3 linked regions of the Schizosaccharomyces pombe genome follow. The protein of the gene in region 3 purifies or fractionates together with the protein of the main gene of each other region. This does not show direct contact. Each region holds a gene or a part of one and is shown on either strand. Other genes may lie near its edges.

What was found. Proteins that work in one complex are often made in the same cells at the same time.
Region 1: the proteins of pop1 (region 3) and cul1 purify together in Schizosaccharomyces pombe (affinity purification with western blotting; 3 studies listed by BioGRID, with this or other methods). This does not show direct contact.
Region 2: the proteins of pop1 (region 3) and rbx1 purify together in Schizosaccharomyces pombe (affinity purification with western blotting; one study listed by BioGRID). This does not show direct contact.

Annotation. Positions count from the first base shown.
Region 1 is NC_003424.3:3,609,800-3,616,211, reverse strand, and holds cul1 (cullin 1), read right to left. Parts: upstream 4,156-6,412; 5' UTR 4,089-4,155; coding exon 4,021-4,088; intron 3,976-4,020; coding exon 3,889-3,975; intron 3,791-3,888; coding exon 3,726-3,790; intron 3,615-3,725; coding exon 3,538-3,614; exon of another isoform or gene 3,336-3,537; coding exon 1,329-3,335; downstream 1-1,328. Other genes in the region: protein slt1, read right to left, coding at 1-586. UniProt on the Schizosaccharomyces pombe protein: Core component of multiple cullin-RING-based SCF (SKP1-CUL1-F-box protein) E3 ubiquitin-protein ligase complexes, which mediate the ubiquitination of target proteins.
Region 2 is NC_003424.3:1,573,321-1,577,635, reverse strand, and holds rbx1 (SCF complex, Cul4-RING and CLRC ubiquitin ligase ligase E3 subunit Rbx1), read right to left. Parts: upstream 2,292-4,315; 5' UTR 2,227-2,291; coding exon 2,152-2,226; exon of another isoform or gene 1,964-2,151; coding exon 1,814-1,963; exon of another isoform or gene 1,751-1,813; coding exon 1,660-1,750; exon of another isoform or gene 1,636-1,659; intron 1,616-1,635; coding exon 1,608-1,615; 3' UTR 1,329-1,607; downstream 1-1,328. Other genes in the region: mediator complex cyclin-dependent protein kinase subunit Srb10, read right to left, coding at 1-782. UniProt on the Schizosaccharomyces pombe protein: Component of E3 ubiquitin ligase SCF complexes, which mediate the ubiquitination and subsequent proteasomal degradation of target proteins.
Region 3 is NC_003423.3:3,466,681-3,472,781, reverse strand, and holds pop1 (cullin 1 adaptor protein Pop1), read right to left. Parts: upstream 3,655-6,101; 5' UTR 3,440-3,654; coding exon 1,112-3,439; 3' UTR 897-1,111; downstream 1-896. Other genes in the region: synaptonemal complex-associated protein hop1, read right to left, coding at 1-128, 173-320, 369-463; beta-glucosidase Psu2, read left to right, coding at 5,253-6,101.

The DNA of each region.
Region 1 (6,412 bases), on a different chromosome or scaffold from region 3:
TAAATATGCGAAATGGTTGAGATTGTTGAGCACCTGCGTACTCTGATGTAGAGTATGGGCCAGTTTGTTGGTCAGCGACTTCAGCTTGGGATTCCGAAGACTCTTCAGGAGAATATATTGTGTCTACGACTGGATGATGAATAAACATTTGCTGGAAATTATTTGGCACTACAAGCTGCATATTGGGTGAATCGGAGACAAGTATTCTGCGTAGCAACTTTCGAGCCGCCTTTTCCCTGCGATGAGCTCTTTCACGCTCCTCATCCTCAAATCGCTTTCTGATTATAGTCCGTACAACATTTTCAAAAGCTCTACGCTCTTGCAGTTGCTCCAAATAATACTCTTGCAAACGAGCCTCTTGTTCCCGTTCATGCAAGTATTGACGGAATTTTCGATGTTGAATTTGCTGGAGCACTTCTTGCCTTGCATCCTCAATTGCCTTCTTTCGCAAAGCCAATTGTTCTTCTTGGCGTTGAATCACTTCGATTTGTTGATTCAGCTCTTCTAAGGCCATTTGAAGGCTGTGGTCTTGCACATTTTGATATTCATTACCATGTACATCTATAAGATGAAATAAAGTCGCCATTATGCTACGATTCTCTTCCTAGTATTTTTTTTCAGAACGATATGTCAAGGAAGATGGTGTGTTGAAGAAGAATGAGCGAACCGCGATGTTTACTCATTTATGTCATACTATGGTGTTGGCACCGGAATGTACCGGAATCATCCATTTCATCCATGAACACTCCAGCAACACCTGGAAGTAGTAAATCAATAAAAACGTTAAAATTGCCTTAATTAGTCTGATCAATTAATTTTTTTTAATTTGTAAGCACCATTTCGTTCTTCGTGCTGAATAATCAATATATGTCTTTTTTAACAGAATCAAGCGATTTGCAGAGGAAGACGAAGACGACAATTGACAATAAATGTATTATATAAAACATATCTTTGACATCCTTTCACAATTTCAAGCATCTGTACTTCGTGAAATGGTGCATGTATGTGGTCGATAACTGTTTTCTTTTCTTTTTCATTGTACGACTTATCCACGTAAAATGATGGGATAATAGAAGTTTGTTGTTGCTATCCAGTAACTAGTAGTAAAAAAAAGTTGCATAGCTTGCATGTAGCTAAGCTACACATTTCTTCAATGGAGTGGTGACTTTCCTACGTTATTAAAAGCTTAGTTTCAATGGATTAAAGATCACTAGCAGACAAGAATGTAAACAAAAGAAAAAAGAAAATTCGTATTGCGTGATTAATTACATATATAACACTCGAAAAGTATATCATTTTTTTTGGAGCATTTCGCGGAGATGTTTCTCTCAAGCAAGGTAAATGTATTCATCGCGGCCTTGGCGTTCCAGGTACTCTTTTTCGATTAACATATCTATACATTGCTTAATATCAGACACTTTAGGAGTAAATCTGCTTTTAATTTGATCAATAGTCTCTTTCACTAACACTACATGTTTCAATGTTCGGCGAGCCTTCATGATACGGACGATAGCGGATTGAAGCAGTAACTTTCGATCTTCTTCTATAGTTTTATGAGTCTCCAGAGATTCCTGCTTTTGCTCAGATCTAATTGGGAGATTTAACTGTACCCGTATCTTTTTCATCCTAAAATTTTCATTGATCTTATATGTGCTATTAGGATCACCAAGCTTGTCATTGTCGCCAAGGAGAAGCACCTTTGCTTTTAGGAATATGTTCAGAATCCCTGTCAAGAAATCTGTACTTAACCCAGTTATTTTTGCCAGCTCCTCATATGTATAAGAATCGCGATGGTTGTACAAAAGCAAAACACCCATTTGATATGTAGAAACTTGAAACACATAAGTGACATTAGTTTGAGGGTTAATGCGTGCCTTTATTTCTCCTTTAGAGAGATGGAACAACCAGCTTAACTTCCTTCCGTTATGGCAGCTATAGTAATAGTTTTGGAATCCTTCATACAAAGGAACTAATTCCTCTGGCAGATGAAAGTTCACATTGTTGGGAGATAGAGGCCAAAACGATGTACCAAGTACAAGAGCAGAGAAATCTATATTTCCAGCACGTGACTGAGGGAGTTGCCAAAACGCTTCGGTAATCTCTTGAGACAAGGAGATGTCTTGAAACATACGCTGTAGCTTACTAGTATATTCAAAACCGCAGACTTCCTTTAACTTAGATAGCATGCTAGATTCAGCATCCTGGGAATTAGAGGTACCATTCACAAGTCGCTTGGCTAAAAGCTTAGTATAAAAGTTTTGAAAAACATCCTTGTCTTCGACATAACGAAAAATAATGATAATCGACGATAAACAGTCTTCAACATCATCAATGTCAACATTCTTGTTGCTTTTTCGCAAAATACTGTCGGCGTATTTAGCAAGCAACTCTGGGGAGCGAGAGGAAGAGCGCTGGCAAACAACATTTCGATTGACAAGTTCTCTAAAGGCTGTATCCAATGACTTTGTAAAATCAGTATCCCCATGAAATGCGGTGTTAACAAGTTCTTTGGAAGCTTTATACGTGGAAAGTAACATTTCCATATACTCTTTAGGATCCACATCGGCTTCTCCACCGACCTGGGGAACAATTTTGGCAACCGCAGCAAAGCCTGATCTCTTGACAAACTCCTCAAATGTCTGGCGTAAAGGCTGCAACCCATTAGGTGTTCGAGACATCAATCGGTACATGCGAATGATATCCTCACTGCAGTTTTGGTCGAGCATGCGTGCAAAGTCGTTGTGCAAAACTTCTTCATGTTGTGCAATTAGTACATCTTCAGTCGCTTCTAAAAGCGGCTTCAATGTGGATTCATGCAAATATAATCTCACAAGCTCTTCCTCCTCTGCTAGTCTTATTTCTGCCTTTTTTAAGTAATCCGTAATAGAATGGGAAGCCAAGTATTCGGAAGACTCCTTTGCATAAAAGTTTTTTGTATTTTCAATAAAGTTTGTTTCGAAAAAAGTTTTGTATGAGCTCAAGTTAGGCTTTGTCATATCGGTTTTATCAAAGCTCAATGAAGTGATAGAATCCACACAAACTTCCACATATTTCATATCAGTAGGTTCATATAATCTTTTTTTGGTGAACATGTATAACAAATTTTGAAGTAGGCTATCGCGAATGTGGGAAAAAACGTGATGATGCCATGACACAAGACAAAGTGTGTAAATGTCGTACACGAGTGTCTCAGTAAATCTGTTCTTCAGTTTAACCCAATATCTATTTAAATATCCAAAAAGATGGTTGATAAAACGGGCAGATGTTGTAAATCGCGTCCAATACTTGGCATACGCAGCGAGTTGCTCTTCATGATTCGTTTGCGAAATGCATTCCTAAAGCGCCAATTAGCACGAGAAAAATTACCACATAATGCAATTTATTCCTTAATCATAATAAAAGACCAGATGCTTATGCTAGCACTCTTTAAAATGTCCAGAGAAAATGTTTAGAAATTAAAGAAAACTGCTGAACACTCGAGGTGCAATGAAATCTTTGTCGTAGAATTATAAATAAAAAACCGATATTTAAACTCACCTTTCGCAGACGGGCCAAATACTCTTCCAGATATAGAACCAAATTATTGTAAAGGGCTTCGCCTAAAACGTTTGCAGCTAGCACATACAGTTAGAATCCAGTGAAAATAATCATAAGAAAATATATGTAGTTCTTCTTTTTGACAAATTCTGAGTCAAAATATAAATTTTTATCTATTTTTTACGTACTTTGATCGTTGAAATTGTCCACCGTTATAGTTTTGGACGCATCAGCACAGTAGTTATGGATTGCTCTAAAAATAAAGTATGTAAGTATATAAATATAGGTGCCATGAAATATCTGATAACTAATATACTAGTATTCAGATCTCAAAATATTGGACTAACTTACGTATAAAGCTCCATATACTTAGTGATAGTCATTCCTTCATCTAGCCTTTCAAATATTTGGGACACACCTGTTTTTAAAAAGTCCCAACTGCATATAGATCAGCAATCGTCAATCAGTTACAATGTAACATACGTTCCATTCAATGAATCATATTTTTTAACAATCGGGAGGTCTTTATCGTTGGTATTCAAAGTAGTCATTAACCAAAATGGTTATAAATGTATAACAAGTAAAATATATTTTATTCAGCACACAATTGCTCTTTCTTAGATGGCAGATAGAGTAAACGTAGTAAATAGTAGCACTGATCCTTTCAAGAACCTACAGGTAACGACGAAGTGAACGAAGGTACAAGAGGTAGCCAGGTGTACGTAGCAAAAGCTCATTATAAAAGTGCTTTATAAGATTATATTTAATATCTAATTTTTTTTTAAGTAAATAATTATTATATTAAAAAATTCTTCATTAACGCATTTATTATTATGAAAACAAAGACATAAAGCCAATATTTATCAACATATACATGAATATGCCAAAGAAATCCTTTAAATTTGAGTTATTGTTCTGCCAAAAGAATGATGTATGCGATCCGCTGGATATTGAGTGCTCGATGCAAATACACATATGGTGTAAAAGATATCTCTGACAAGTGTATAGTAATATTGTACTAAATGAAAATCTCAAACCCATGAAATATTTACAAATGTTGAAAAGGGTTTAATTTGGACCTCAAATAGGTTGACATTTTCAATGTGGCCAACATAACAGGATGCTCTTTCATAGATGTTGTAAAACAGAAATACTTTTCCTTCTCTTTCTCAAACGCGCTACAAATTACCTCTTCATACCATCTTTTGAGCACCGCCATCTATTGTTTACCATCAGAGCCTCATCCTCAAACAATTCTGAGTGCCGTTAACGGTAGCCAATTCCTAAGTAAAATTGTCGCAAAATGTTGATGCATCAAAAGCGGCCTCAAATTGAACTTTTTATCATTTACCTACTAAAATAAAAGTAATAGAATGCGCTTGGATACGCACGTTTGGAGTCTGCTTTCTATATTCACTTAGGAACAGACGAATTATTATTAATTCTGAATAAGACCAAAAATTATTCTCAATTTCATAACTAATTAGCTTCCTCCTTTATCACTTAAACTTGCTTGCTTTATTTTTTTTATTTTTTTTTACAATTTAGGTGTTTTTATATTCGTAGAATGGCAATAATGAGTTGAAAACATTCCATTCTTCGCTAACCACCTTTCCCCCTTTAACGCGTGGCCAGCATTGTTCTACTTTGCTCACTTGACTATTTACTTACATATTTTTTTGTTTAGTATTCCAATACAATCAAAATATCTGTAATTTGTTGAGATTCTTTCTAAAAAACAAACATAATATCTGTTTCTCTCTTTTATTTGCTATTATATCCCATTTTCTCCGTTTTTATGAACCTTGAACCTTCAAGTTTCTATGTAATTATTCAATTTCAACATAAGAAACTCTGCAAAAAAGCTATTTACATCACTGCTTCGTCTTTTGAATTCCAAAATTTTTTCTAGAAACTATCCGCTCATCTTTTCTTTGCAATCCATCATCAATTTCCACACTAATAGTCAAGAGTGTTTATATACTGTGATATTAAGAGATATATTTTAAAGTAGTAATCCATAGTCATTATACAATCTTCTTATTATTTTAGGCCTTTCTTCTTTCTTTTGATTTCTCTCTCCATAATTTTATCTTAATCGACTTTTTCTCAGTTATCTTATTGGGGGAGGATAACTAACCTTTGTCTCCAGTATTTACTTAAAATTTCGTTATAAATAAGCTAGTTCAGCTTGTGCTATTCAAACCGCTGTCTTTCTGCTTTCCTGTTTTTTTCTGTAAACAAATCCTCTTTTTTCTCAAAAAAAAAAAAAAAAAAAGAAAATACTTGTTTTATGAACTGACCAAACTTTATTTCAAAAAAGTTACTTGGACTTTTAAGTCATTAATTTGGCTTTTGTTTTTAATTTTTTTTTCAACACTTGGAAGGTTAACTATCCATTTTAAAATCCTGTTCCTTTTATTAATCTGTAAAAAGAATACCTAGTTGTTCTTTCATTCAAGTCTTTTTAAACTTCCGCCGACTTTGCCTCGCTATTGTCCGCAAACAACCATTTGGAGTTTGCCTAGTCCTATATACTACCTTTCCGTATTTCCACCTTGGTGAGGTACACCAGCGTTCCAAAATCGCTACAAGTATTCATTCTTTTGTATTTATTTTTTAAATACTTTGTGCGTTTACGCGAAAAGTGCTTTCGAGCACTTTACAAGAAAAAGGAAAATTTTCAAGTGAATTAGCTTTCGTTCTCGAGATTGAGGCTCATCATCTTTTTCCTTTAGATTCTTTTTGTTTTTTGTTTAACGTTTTTTTTTTTTTTTTACTTGCTGGAAGTATTTTGAAGACTATTTGCTGTCACAACTCAGCGAAGACTTTTTGTGGTTACGTGTCTAAGCGCGAAATCTTCTTTAACTAAGCT
Region 2 (4,315 bases), on a different chromosome or scaffold from region 3:
GGATAATTTTTGAGACCTGGCCAGCGTTCTTCTGTTGGTGTGCCTAGTAACTCCATTATGCGTAGCATTTGAGTACTCTGAAAAGGAACGACTTTTTTATCTTCCATTTTTATTTCATCTCCTTTGAAAAGAGGAGAAAGAGCAAGCATTTCTCCATAAATACAACCAATTGCCCAAACATCTATTGCTGGGGTATAATCGTGAGCTCCCAAAAGTAGCTCTGGCGCACGATACCAAATAGTAACTACTACACGATCGCTGGAATAAAATGGTAATATGGGATCCCGAATGAGCCTTCCCAGCCCTAGGTCCCCAATTTTTACCTTGCCTGTAGCTGTAATCATTATGTTTGCTGGTTTCAAATCTCGATGCATAATCCAGTTTTCATGTAGGTATGCTACACCATTAATGATCTGCCATAGAATACTTTTTAAAATTGATGGTGGAATTTGTCTTGTTCTAGATCGGCTATGGAAATGAATAATTTGCAACAGATCGTGTTCGGCGTATTCAAAAACCATGCTAATTGTGCCATCTTTGAGTAAAACTTGAACCAAGCTAACTATATTTTCATGCTGAATTTCTCTACACAGCATCATTTCACGAATAGCACTTTGAGAAACGCCGGTTTGTTGAGCATTCGAGCTTACTTGCTTTGACTCAGCTTTGAACTTTTTAATTGCAAACAGTCGTTTATCATTCGAATTAGATGAAACCGCTTTATAAACCTTTCCATAAGTTCCAGATGAGATAAACCCAATAATTTTATAACCGTCTTTCATGCTGAAATGACCCTACCCTATCAAACCTTTAAAGAGATGGATATATACACATTCAATCACATAGGGATGCTTTTTACAGTCTTTATATAAAAAGTATCCGACTTTTTAGTATCACTTAAAAAGTCAGATGAATGTAGGTCTCTCTATAGTGGGAAGTGACGAAGGCGACAGAAACATTAGTATTAGGCGAATAAAGAGTCAAAGTACCACGAATCTTTTTATGCCTACCCACTATTAACGAAAACACCAAGTCTGATAAACTGAAGGTTTTAAACATCAGATGGTAATTTTCATAAAGCTGTTTGTTCTTATTTAAAAGTTAACTGAATTTGTGAATTGATTGGCAAGTATAGAAAATCCGTGCACTACTGAGCTTTTGTATCTCACCACTGACATTCTTCTCGAAAGCAATGATTCGCATTCTGTCATGCGATATGCAGCATAATGTCTGTATGCCTATTCAATTTTAACAATAGCACTTTAGAAGTATGCCATTTCTTTTGATGATTTAAGTAATGTTCTAATTCTTCAAGTGTATACAAAGTAGTGATATAATGTCTTAATTTATATGATGTGTAGTTAAAAACTGTCTGTAGGAAATTTTATTTGACAAGCAATAAAATAAATTGATATATTCGTCCACTATCTGAGTAATTGGAGTAAATAAATATAAATAACAATTCAAAGTCACATGGAAACTTAAACTAGCCACAAGTAGTCATGATTTTAGGAAATTTTAATTGATTCATGTCATTTCATTAATAAAACGCTCTGCTCCATTGAAATATTTTTACCAACAAAAAAGTAAGTACTTAATAAATGTTATTAATGACCTGAGATAAAGTTAGTAAAGTAGGCTCGTCTTAATATACCCTACCATAACGTTGGAACTCCCATTCACGATTGTCCAAAGGACAAACATTCCTAGTGTTTAACCATCTTGAGATGCAGTGAAAGTGAAATGCATGCTTTTGTATTTGTTAAAAACAGTCCTGAGCTAAGAATACGAAAGAAATCGAATTAAAACTTACATTACAAGTTCCCCATGCCACTGTGCACTCTTGAGCAGCAGCAGAATCGGTGTTAGCTTGACACTCAATACATAAGTCCATAATATGATTTCTGCAGATAGCACAGTTATCTACAACAATGTCCCATTGCCATAATGCTACAGCATTCCACTAAATTGAAGGTAAGCAATATGAATCAGAAGAACTCATAAAAAAAGCAAAGAGAGTAAACTAGTACTTAAGTGTATGCTTATTTTAAAATAGCAAATATATCTTTGGGTATTAATTTTCACAGTTTACTTTGCTTTATGGCAAATTTGATACACATGAAGAACATGATCATAAAAATAATGACGAACCTTTTTAATTTCAAATCGAGGAGGTTTTTGTTCAATTTCCACCTCCTTCTTGTCTATTTGCATTTCATCTTCCATTGTGATGAGTAAAATAGAGCAAAGCCGCTACTTCGTTTTAAGATGAGATGTTTAAGCGGTGTGATAAAGGGGGTTGAAAATTGCAGCTTCGCTAAGCAATACTCAAACATAAGATAATTTTTGGAGTAATGTAATAAATTTTGCTAAAACACAAGTATTTAATATAATAAATAATGGATCATGGATCTTTCAATCGCAAAATGCGTACTCAAAAAATGAAGGATGATTATTCATCTGCTGTTTCATGAGTGTTTAGCACTATATCTATTTAGCTACATTAAATTACTCAGTTTGTTTAAATGTGTAAACTTTTAATTCTATGTTACATGATGACAATACAAGTTTCTTAGATATTATTTGTATTATGTGTGCTCGTTAGACATCTATTGAATAAGTTTTGTATATAATATCGAAGTACTGAAGACGGTTTCCTACAAACGTTTCAACCAAAATTAGTAAATAGCCCTATTTATCTATAATATTGTACCTTCTCTAGCATATCAAATTGAACACATTCAGCGAATTTTTCTGAAGTAATAGAGCTATTTTTTATTATTGTATTTCATCCAAATATAAATACCTTGGAAGTGAAATATACAAGGGAAGTTAATTCCAAAATTGATTTATTTTTAACTTGTATTGACTCTGAAATTCAAGACTGATTGAAAAAAGCTTTATCCATACAATTAATAAATAAACCATCTCAATATAACAATCGTAGAACAAGATGCAGTTAATGTTTATTTTAGTCCAGCATATTCGTCTTCTGATTACAAAAGTTTTCAAAAGTAGGTTGCACTATTTGTTGTAAATGGTCTTTGCTAGTATGCAAAATTAATAATAGTTTACAAAACTTGAAAAATAATGAACACAAGAATATCATTTCTATAGATCGGGTGTATCTTTACTAGGATTTTAATTTCCGATTATACACAGCTGCTGCCTCCTGTGGCTCATTTGATTACTATATTATTGCGATCGTATAGTCATTTGTACTAAACAAACCTCGTATATGGCTTTTTTTTGTAAAAATTTCTACTAGTTTGACTGCTTATATTTTGCTAAAAATGTCTTTAAAATGATCGGCATCAAATTGTATGGTAATTTCGTTGAGTAAACATTCGTATCTACAGTGATTTCATCGTCAACATCGGATTTCCTTCAATTTTTGAAAGTTATCATCAAAGAGATTTAAATGATAGATGGAATATATTAAGCCGAAAAATCTGGTTTTCAAGTTTACATCTGTTAGCAAATTTTAAAAGGATCTACAGCTAAGTACCGTGCTAAGAGCATGCCAAGGGGTTTTGAGATATCTCGCTAAGTTTAAAACCAAAATACTGTGTAGCTATACAATGCACTAAAACTGGCAAAGTATAATAACGCGGAAGCTACGTTCAAACTATTGGAAATGTAACCTGCCTAACGAGACGCAAGGATATTTGCATTGGGGATTGTCAGCTTGAAGTCGAGCTGAATGAAATGCTAAGCTTAAAATCAAACAAATGAAATTTATAATTAACTATCTTTATGCAAGCCTGTGCATATTAAAAATCGACTAATACAAAAACAAGAAACAAATTGAACTTGTTAGTAAAACGAAAGAGAACGGTAGCGATACTTCGTTGAGGCAAGCATGTTTTGGAATAAGTAGTTTTTTAAAAGTTTGGAGCCTGTCTACAAACATTTTGCAACATGAAGAGATCATAGCCTACGGATCTTGAATTTGAGGAAAAAATGCTAATGTACTTTTACTTATTTACATCGCTCTGTCATTAATTTTGTCTTTTTTTTTTTTGTAAAAATACTCAATTCTCTAAAATATATATCCCCGTCAAATGCCAAAAGAGCAAACAAAATAAAATTGAATAAGTAAATAAATATAGCCTGTATGCAAGGATACGAAATTTTAAATAAATAAAAAAAAGCGCGGCTCAGATAAATTAAAGATATACTTTGTGTATTAAAAATCAATTTCTTTTATAATCGCAGCGATTAACTACTAACTCACGTCACACAAGAGAACAAATAAAAAAAATAAAAAAAAAATAAAAAGGTTCCAAATAGCAAAACAGTCTTAAATGAGTGC
Region 3 (6,101 bases):
TTAATTGTAAATGAAAATATCTCCTTTTCAACCGCGTCATCCTCTAATATTGACTTGCATTGTGACGAAATAATCAGGTAAACAGTAAATGGAACTTTCATTGATACAAGTGAGAAAATATAAGTTTTCTAAAATATTAGTTTATTTCTTTAGATAAGTTTTAAACACTCACCATCATTTCCAAAAAACTGTCTGCTTCTTTGTCCACTCCAGCTTGTAAAGAAACCACAGTAGGTTTCAATTGACAATCAAAGTCAGCTCCTTTAAAATGTTCAATTTCGAAATTGACTTTCTTGTAGCAGTTTTCATTGAAAAGAGCACTTGCCTTCTGTTAGCTATTTTAATTTAAAAATTATATGTCTGCGTACCGCTTATAGCATAATGTTGATATCGCGAAGAAAATTAAATTTTTAAGAGTAAAGTCAGACTTAGTTTGCAGAATTTCCTCTTTGTATGAATTCATTTGTCATTTATACTTAGAAGTAAAGGGTATTTGATAAGTTGATATCTATATATGGTAATTTTGTGAACGCGTCGAACGCGTCTTAAGTGTACGTATATTACAGTCCCACCTGTGGTTTTCCAACACTTTAAACTACACTAAAATGGCTTACATAGATAAATGGAATGCGAAAAGCATGTTTTACGATGAAGACATTTGGTAGCTTATGAAGTAATGTAAAAGCCTTTTGTTAAATTAAATGTCTTTTTACATTTACAAAGCTAAAATGTTTGTTTTTTTATTTACTATAGTTTGCTAATTATAAAAATATAGTACGCTTTTGGGTAGAATGGACGCTATTTGAAGCTAAGGATTCAAGAAATTCGCTTATCCCTTTGGTAAAAAAATTTTGGCCTCAACAAACGAATTTAACACTAAATAATTTATAAATGTAGAATAGATCATTTAAAAAAATATTATTTTGCATTCTTATTAGATATTTAAAAAAGAAAATTATGAGTAAACATTTAAAAGTCAACAAACAATTAGACAAATATTATATGATAGAGGAGTTTCCAGAATAAATAGCATGAATCTATTTCAGTTTGGAAACGTAAAATAAAATTTCGAGATCTTTTATAGATTTCTAGTATCTCAACTTATAAAAGCTCAAGAAGATTTAGTAGATCCAAACTCTAGGACCTCGATCCAAAAACGGTTATTTCTTAAAACAGCAGCCACACATACATTTTCATTATAAGCAACTTGCCAGATTATATCCAAATCAGTCAATAGGTCTCTTACTAACTTTCCGGAACGAATGTCCCATAACTGTAGCGTACTATGGCTTCCACTGACAACTTTGCTCTCGTCGTGTTGAAAAAATATGTGTCCCAAAGGACATTTTAAAATATCTCGACAACTTCCGGTGTTTAGATCCCAAACTCTCAACGATGTATCAGGAGGAGCAGAAGCGGATACCAAGATATTTTGGTTAAATGTAACTTGACTTACCAAATTCGAATGACCATGAAGGGTCTGTAGAAGTTCTCCAGACTCAAGGTTCCAAATACGAATTTTAGCATCCGTACCAGCGCTGATACATTGTTGACGAGAAGGATTAATTGTGACACTGTATACTCTCCCGACGTGTCCCCGAAGAACATGTAAACAAACGCCAGTAGATGCCTTCCATACTCTAAGAGTACCATCATAACTGGCACTGACAATCAAATCTCCAAGACAAGCAACTTCACGTACCGAGTCCGTATGACCACGTAATGTTCGGATGTAAAACGGATTGGTCGTAGCTGAAGTAAAGTCATTATTCTGATCAGGATTTTCATTTACATTAACAAATGGTGGATCGTCAAGGCATGGAAGACTCCATAAACGGATCGTACAATCCCTTGAACTTGAAATTATATACGGAGGCATTGAATTAGCATCATTTGAAGCTGGTCTGTTTTCTTTTTCCACATCATCAGTATCAGTAGTACTTTGATTGCCTTGAACTATTTTGATACAACGGATTGTTGACGTGTGTCCATAAAACACCTGTTTACATTCACCGGTTCTAAGGTCCCAGACTCTTACTGTCCTGTCTGTGGAGCCAGTAACCAAAGTATCCCCAACGTATTCAAAAGTCCAAACATCACCTTCATGCTCTTCTAAACTGCGTATCAGGACACCTGTTTTCGTGTCATATATATTAATTCTAGGACTGCAGGTGCTAACAATTATTTTGTCATCATCAAACTGAAGTTTGGTAATAAGACGAACTCCATGAATTGGGAATGAACATCGCTTAATTTTCTCCGGGGCATGGAGCCATCTTTCACGAAGATTAAAATGTCTAAAATAGACCCGCTTCATTATCGCACAGGCTGACAAAGATTGTTCTAAACACATCGTACGGATTTTACTATCAATTGAATCCCAAAAGAAACCATCTTTTAAAAAGAGACTTTTCCAAAGTTCTTCGTTGGACGATACCAACTTATACCAGTGATGCGAAACTTGCGAAACTGCACACAATGAAGGTGCATCTAAATGCGTAAGCACTAAATTTGTAATCTCAGCCGGAAATCCAGTTAAAAAGTTCTTTTGAAAGATAGGAAGCAGAATTTTGTGAATATTTTGAACAGCATGTTTTCCACATCGAGAAAGAAGATGAAAAAGTAAGTATTGACGAACACTTTCGGGTAATTTTTCGAAGGAAGAAATTAATTGTGCTAATTTCAAAACAGCATTTTTTTGAGAGCTCAAATGATTAGAAGGATGAATGCTAGGATTTTCTGAAGAAAAATCATATATGACAGGTTCATGCAAAGAATTATGTGAAGATGAAGATGAATGAGGGGGAAAAGATTGACGGGTTTTGGAATCGTTGCCGAGTAAATTAGGAGAAAAATAAGAGTAATTAACAGAATTATTTGGTGCATCAAGTGAGAATGTTGTTTCACTAGCGACTTCCTTACTGTCACAGTTGTTTGGGTAGAAAACGTTCGAGTAGTTAGTAGAAGGAAAAGTTTCATTCTTTTTATTCCCATCACTTTGAGAATTGAAGAGAAACCGCTTATTAGCATGCAAATTAGAGCTGAGACTAGAGTTACGGCGTTTAAGGCACTTTTCGCGATGCTCTGACGGCAGCTCACAACTCAAATGGGGCCGGTTAAGATCACAATGTAGATATAAAAGATTTTGCAAGTTTTCCAAATTTTCTTTATCAGATAAACATCGATTGTTAGTAAATATCATCGATTGCTGACTTCCCTTGCTATCAAATTGTAGACTAACACGACTAAGCTCCTCGGGAATTCTGGTCATTATATTATTTCCTTCCAGGAGATCTTTTTTAGTGGAACATGGAGAAAATCTCTCGACATTTGGCCGGGGAGAAGAGGAAACATCAATACTCGGTGATACCATAGTTGTCTCACCGAAAAATTCATTGGAATCTAAAACAGATAGGCTATCTTTTTTCTTCTCATTCATTTCAAGTAGTTTACAGACACTTAGTAGAAAAGTATTTGTCAAGTTCTTTTATGATGTTAGAGAACCTGGTTCAAGAATCGATACTGATGAATTTACTTAAAACAACTGCCCGTTGGGAAACATGTATATGAAATTATTTTGCAAATAGTTATCGTCTTAATGCATTAGAGCAATACTTTTTCTTGGTTTTTTTGAAGTTCAGCGAGATAGATCGTAAAGACCATAAACTCTTGGCAATGAATTTTAAATTCACTCTACGCAAGCGGAGGTGTAAGTAACACCAGAATAAGTAACAATTTTACTGTTGATTAAGAAAAGTTTTTATAGTTTATGGTAAATACGACTAAATCGCGACATAACAATAGTTCAATAAGAAAAGTTATATGACTTAGTTATGGCTCCTCAATATTATTTTTTTTTACATTATTTGCGATAGTGTTTTAATTGTATACCAGATATTAACCTCCTCAGCATTTTCAAATAAATTCTCTAAAGACAAAAACAATGAACACGTGAAGTATTCATATTATAAAATTGTCTTTTCCGTTGCGTTTTTGCAGCTAAAGAATGCAGACACAATAGTAGCTCGCGAATTTCATTACACGCCAATAAAGTTGGGAAAGAGATTACCCTCCCCTGTCATATTCTAAATGACACGGACACATATAATAATTTATTAATAAAATTTGAGCATGAGCGTAAAATGTAAAATGTCAGACTAAGATGGCGTTTCTAGTACATCATTTTCTTAGGCCGTTGAAAGAAATTTTTTGTCTCGTCAATGACATGCATCGGGTAATTTCGGCAGGCATTGGGCTATTATTCGACTTCTCTCCATTCAAAATTTGACTTAATCTCAGTATCCAAAGAAGCGTCAAATACGCTACCAAGATAAATAATTAAATTGTTATCCGTAAAAGTTCTTAGCATAGCAAACCGATAAACCGAGTGTAAACACGATATTAATTAATTAATATTATATCATATTTAATGAGCTGCAGAACATCATTTGCCGAAATGCACCGAGCCTCTTATATCTAGGATGATTTGTATGTACCAGATTACTTTCCCAAGAGATTATTAAATATATTTAATAGTATTAGGAGAAAATCAATATAACGTTGAGTCGAGCCAACGTATTTGTAAGTTAGGTATACAGGGATGTCATTAGGCTTACGTACACCGCGCAATTCAATTGCAAAAGGCCCAGGGGACCAAGAACTTCCTTATGATAAGAAAGCTAAAGCGATAAACAAAAATTAAATTACTTGGCTTGGAAATAATAATAATTTGCTTTGAAATGAATGATTGAACGCCCCGCGACCCCGGGACAGTATAAATTTTCCTGGGGTAGATCAAATTCACGCATTTAATTGGTTGAATTTATCAACTGACTTTTAAGTTCATTTTTAATTAAGTTATCAGCCAATGAATACAAAGCCGATAGCAAGGCAAGCAATGATTGGAGCGCAATAGTTGACTGTTTTGGCGCTAATTATTTCGGGTTTATGGTTAGAAATTTTCTGAAAAAATCAACGTTGAAAACTTACAGGCTTTCATGGTTAATTAGTGGCAAAACGCCACGGCTCTTAATCAAAAGATGGTGAAGTGCTTGAAAAAAGAAATGTATATAAAGCTGAGCTGATTTTTAGGGAAAAGCCGTGAGCTGAAATTAAACAATCAGAACCGCAAAAGGTAAAGACCATTATATTCTTTACCATCTTTCTTTTATTTTCTAGTATCAAGTTACTAGCATATCCTATCGTTTATAAAGTCAATCGTTAGATTCCTGTCAAATCTTTTAAATCTAAAAATGCTCTTTAACAACTTTCTTTGTTTTGCGGTTTCCGCCATTCCTTTGGTTTCAGCTATGCCTCTTGGTAATGCTCCCTATCACCATCACCATCATGCCGGTTTGAATGCTAGCAATATAACTGTTGGTGTCAATGTCACAAACACTACCGCTTTTTCAAAAAGAGACGGTGGTTTTCCTGACGGCGTATACGACTGCTCCTCTTTTCCTGATGATCAAAATGGCGTTGTCCGCCTTGATTACTTAGGTTTTGGAGGATGGTCTGGTGTTCAGAAGAATGATGGTAAATACGGAACAGCTTCTACATGCCAAGATAACACATACTGTTCCTATGCATGCAAGCCCGGAATGTCTAAGACCCAATGGCCGTCTGAGCAGCCTGACAATGGCGTTTCCGTTGGTGGTTTGTATTGCAAGAACGGTAAATTATATCTCACCCAGAAGGATAATTCTAATCTTTGTGAAGATGGAAAGGGTACTGCCTATGTTAAAAATACATTGAGTTCCAATGTCGCAATTTGCCGTACCGATTACCCCGGAACTGAGAACATGAATATCCCTACCAATATTGATGGTGGTTCAAAACAACCTCTTTCTGATGTTGATGAAGATTCATACTATAATTGGGGAGGAAAGAAGACATCCGCTCAATACTATGTTAATAAATCTGGCAGAAGTGCAGAAGATGTCTGTGTTTGGGGTAATGAGGGCGATGATTATGGCAATTGGGCTCCTATGAACTTCGGGTCTGGTTACACTGACGGCAAGACTTGGCTTTCTATGTCTTTCAATCCTTTATCATCTGCTAAACTTGATTACAATATCCGTATTAAATCTGATGGTGGGTCC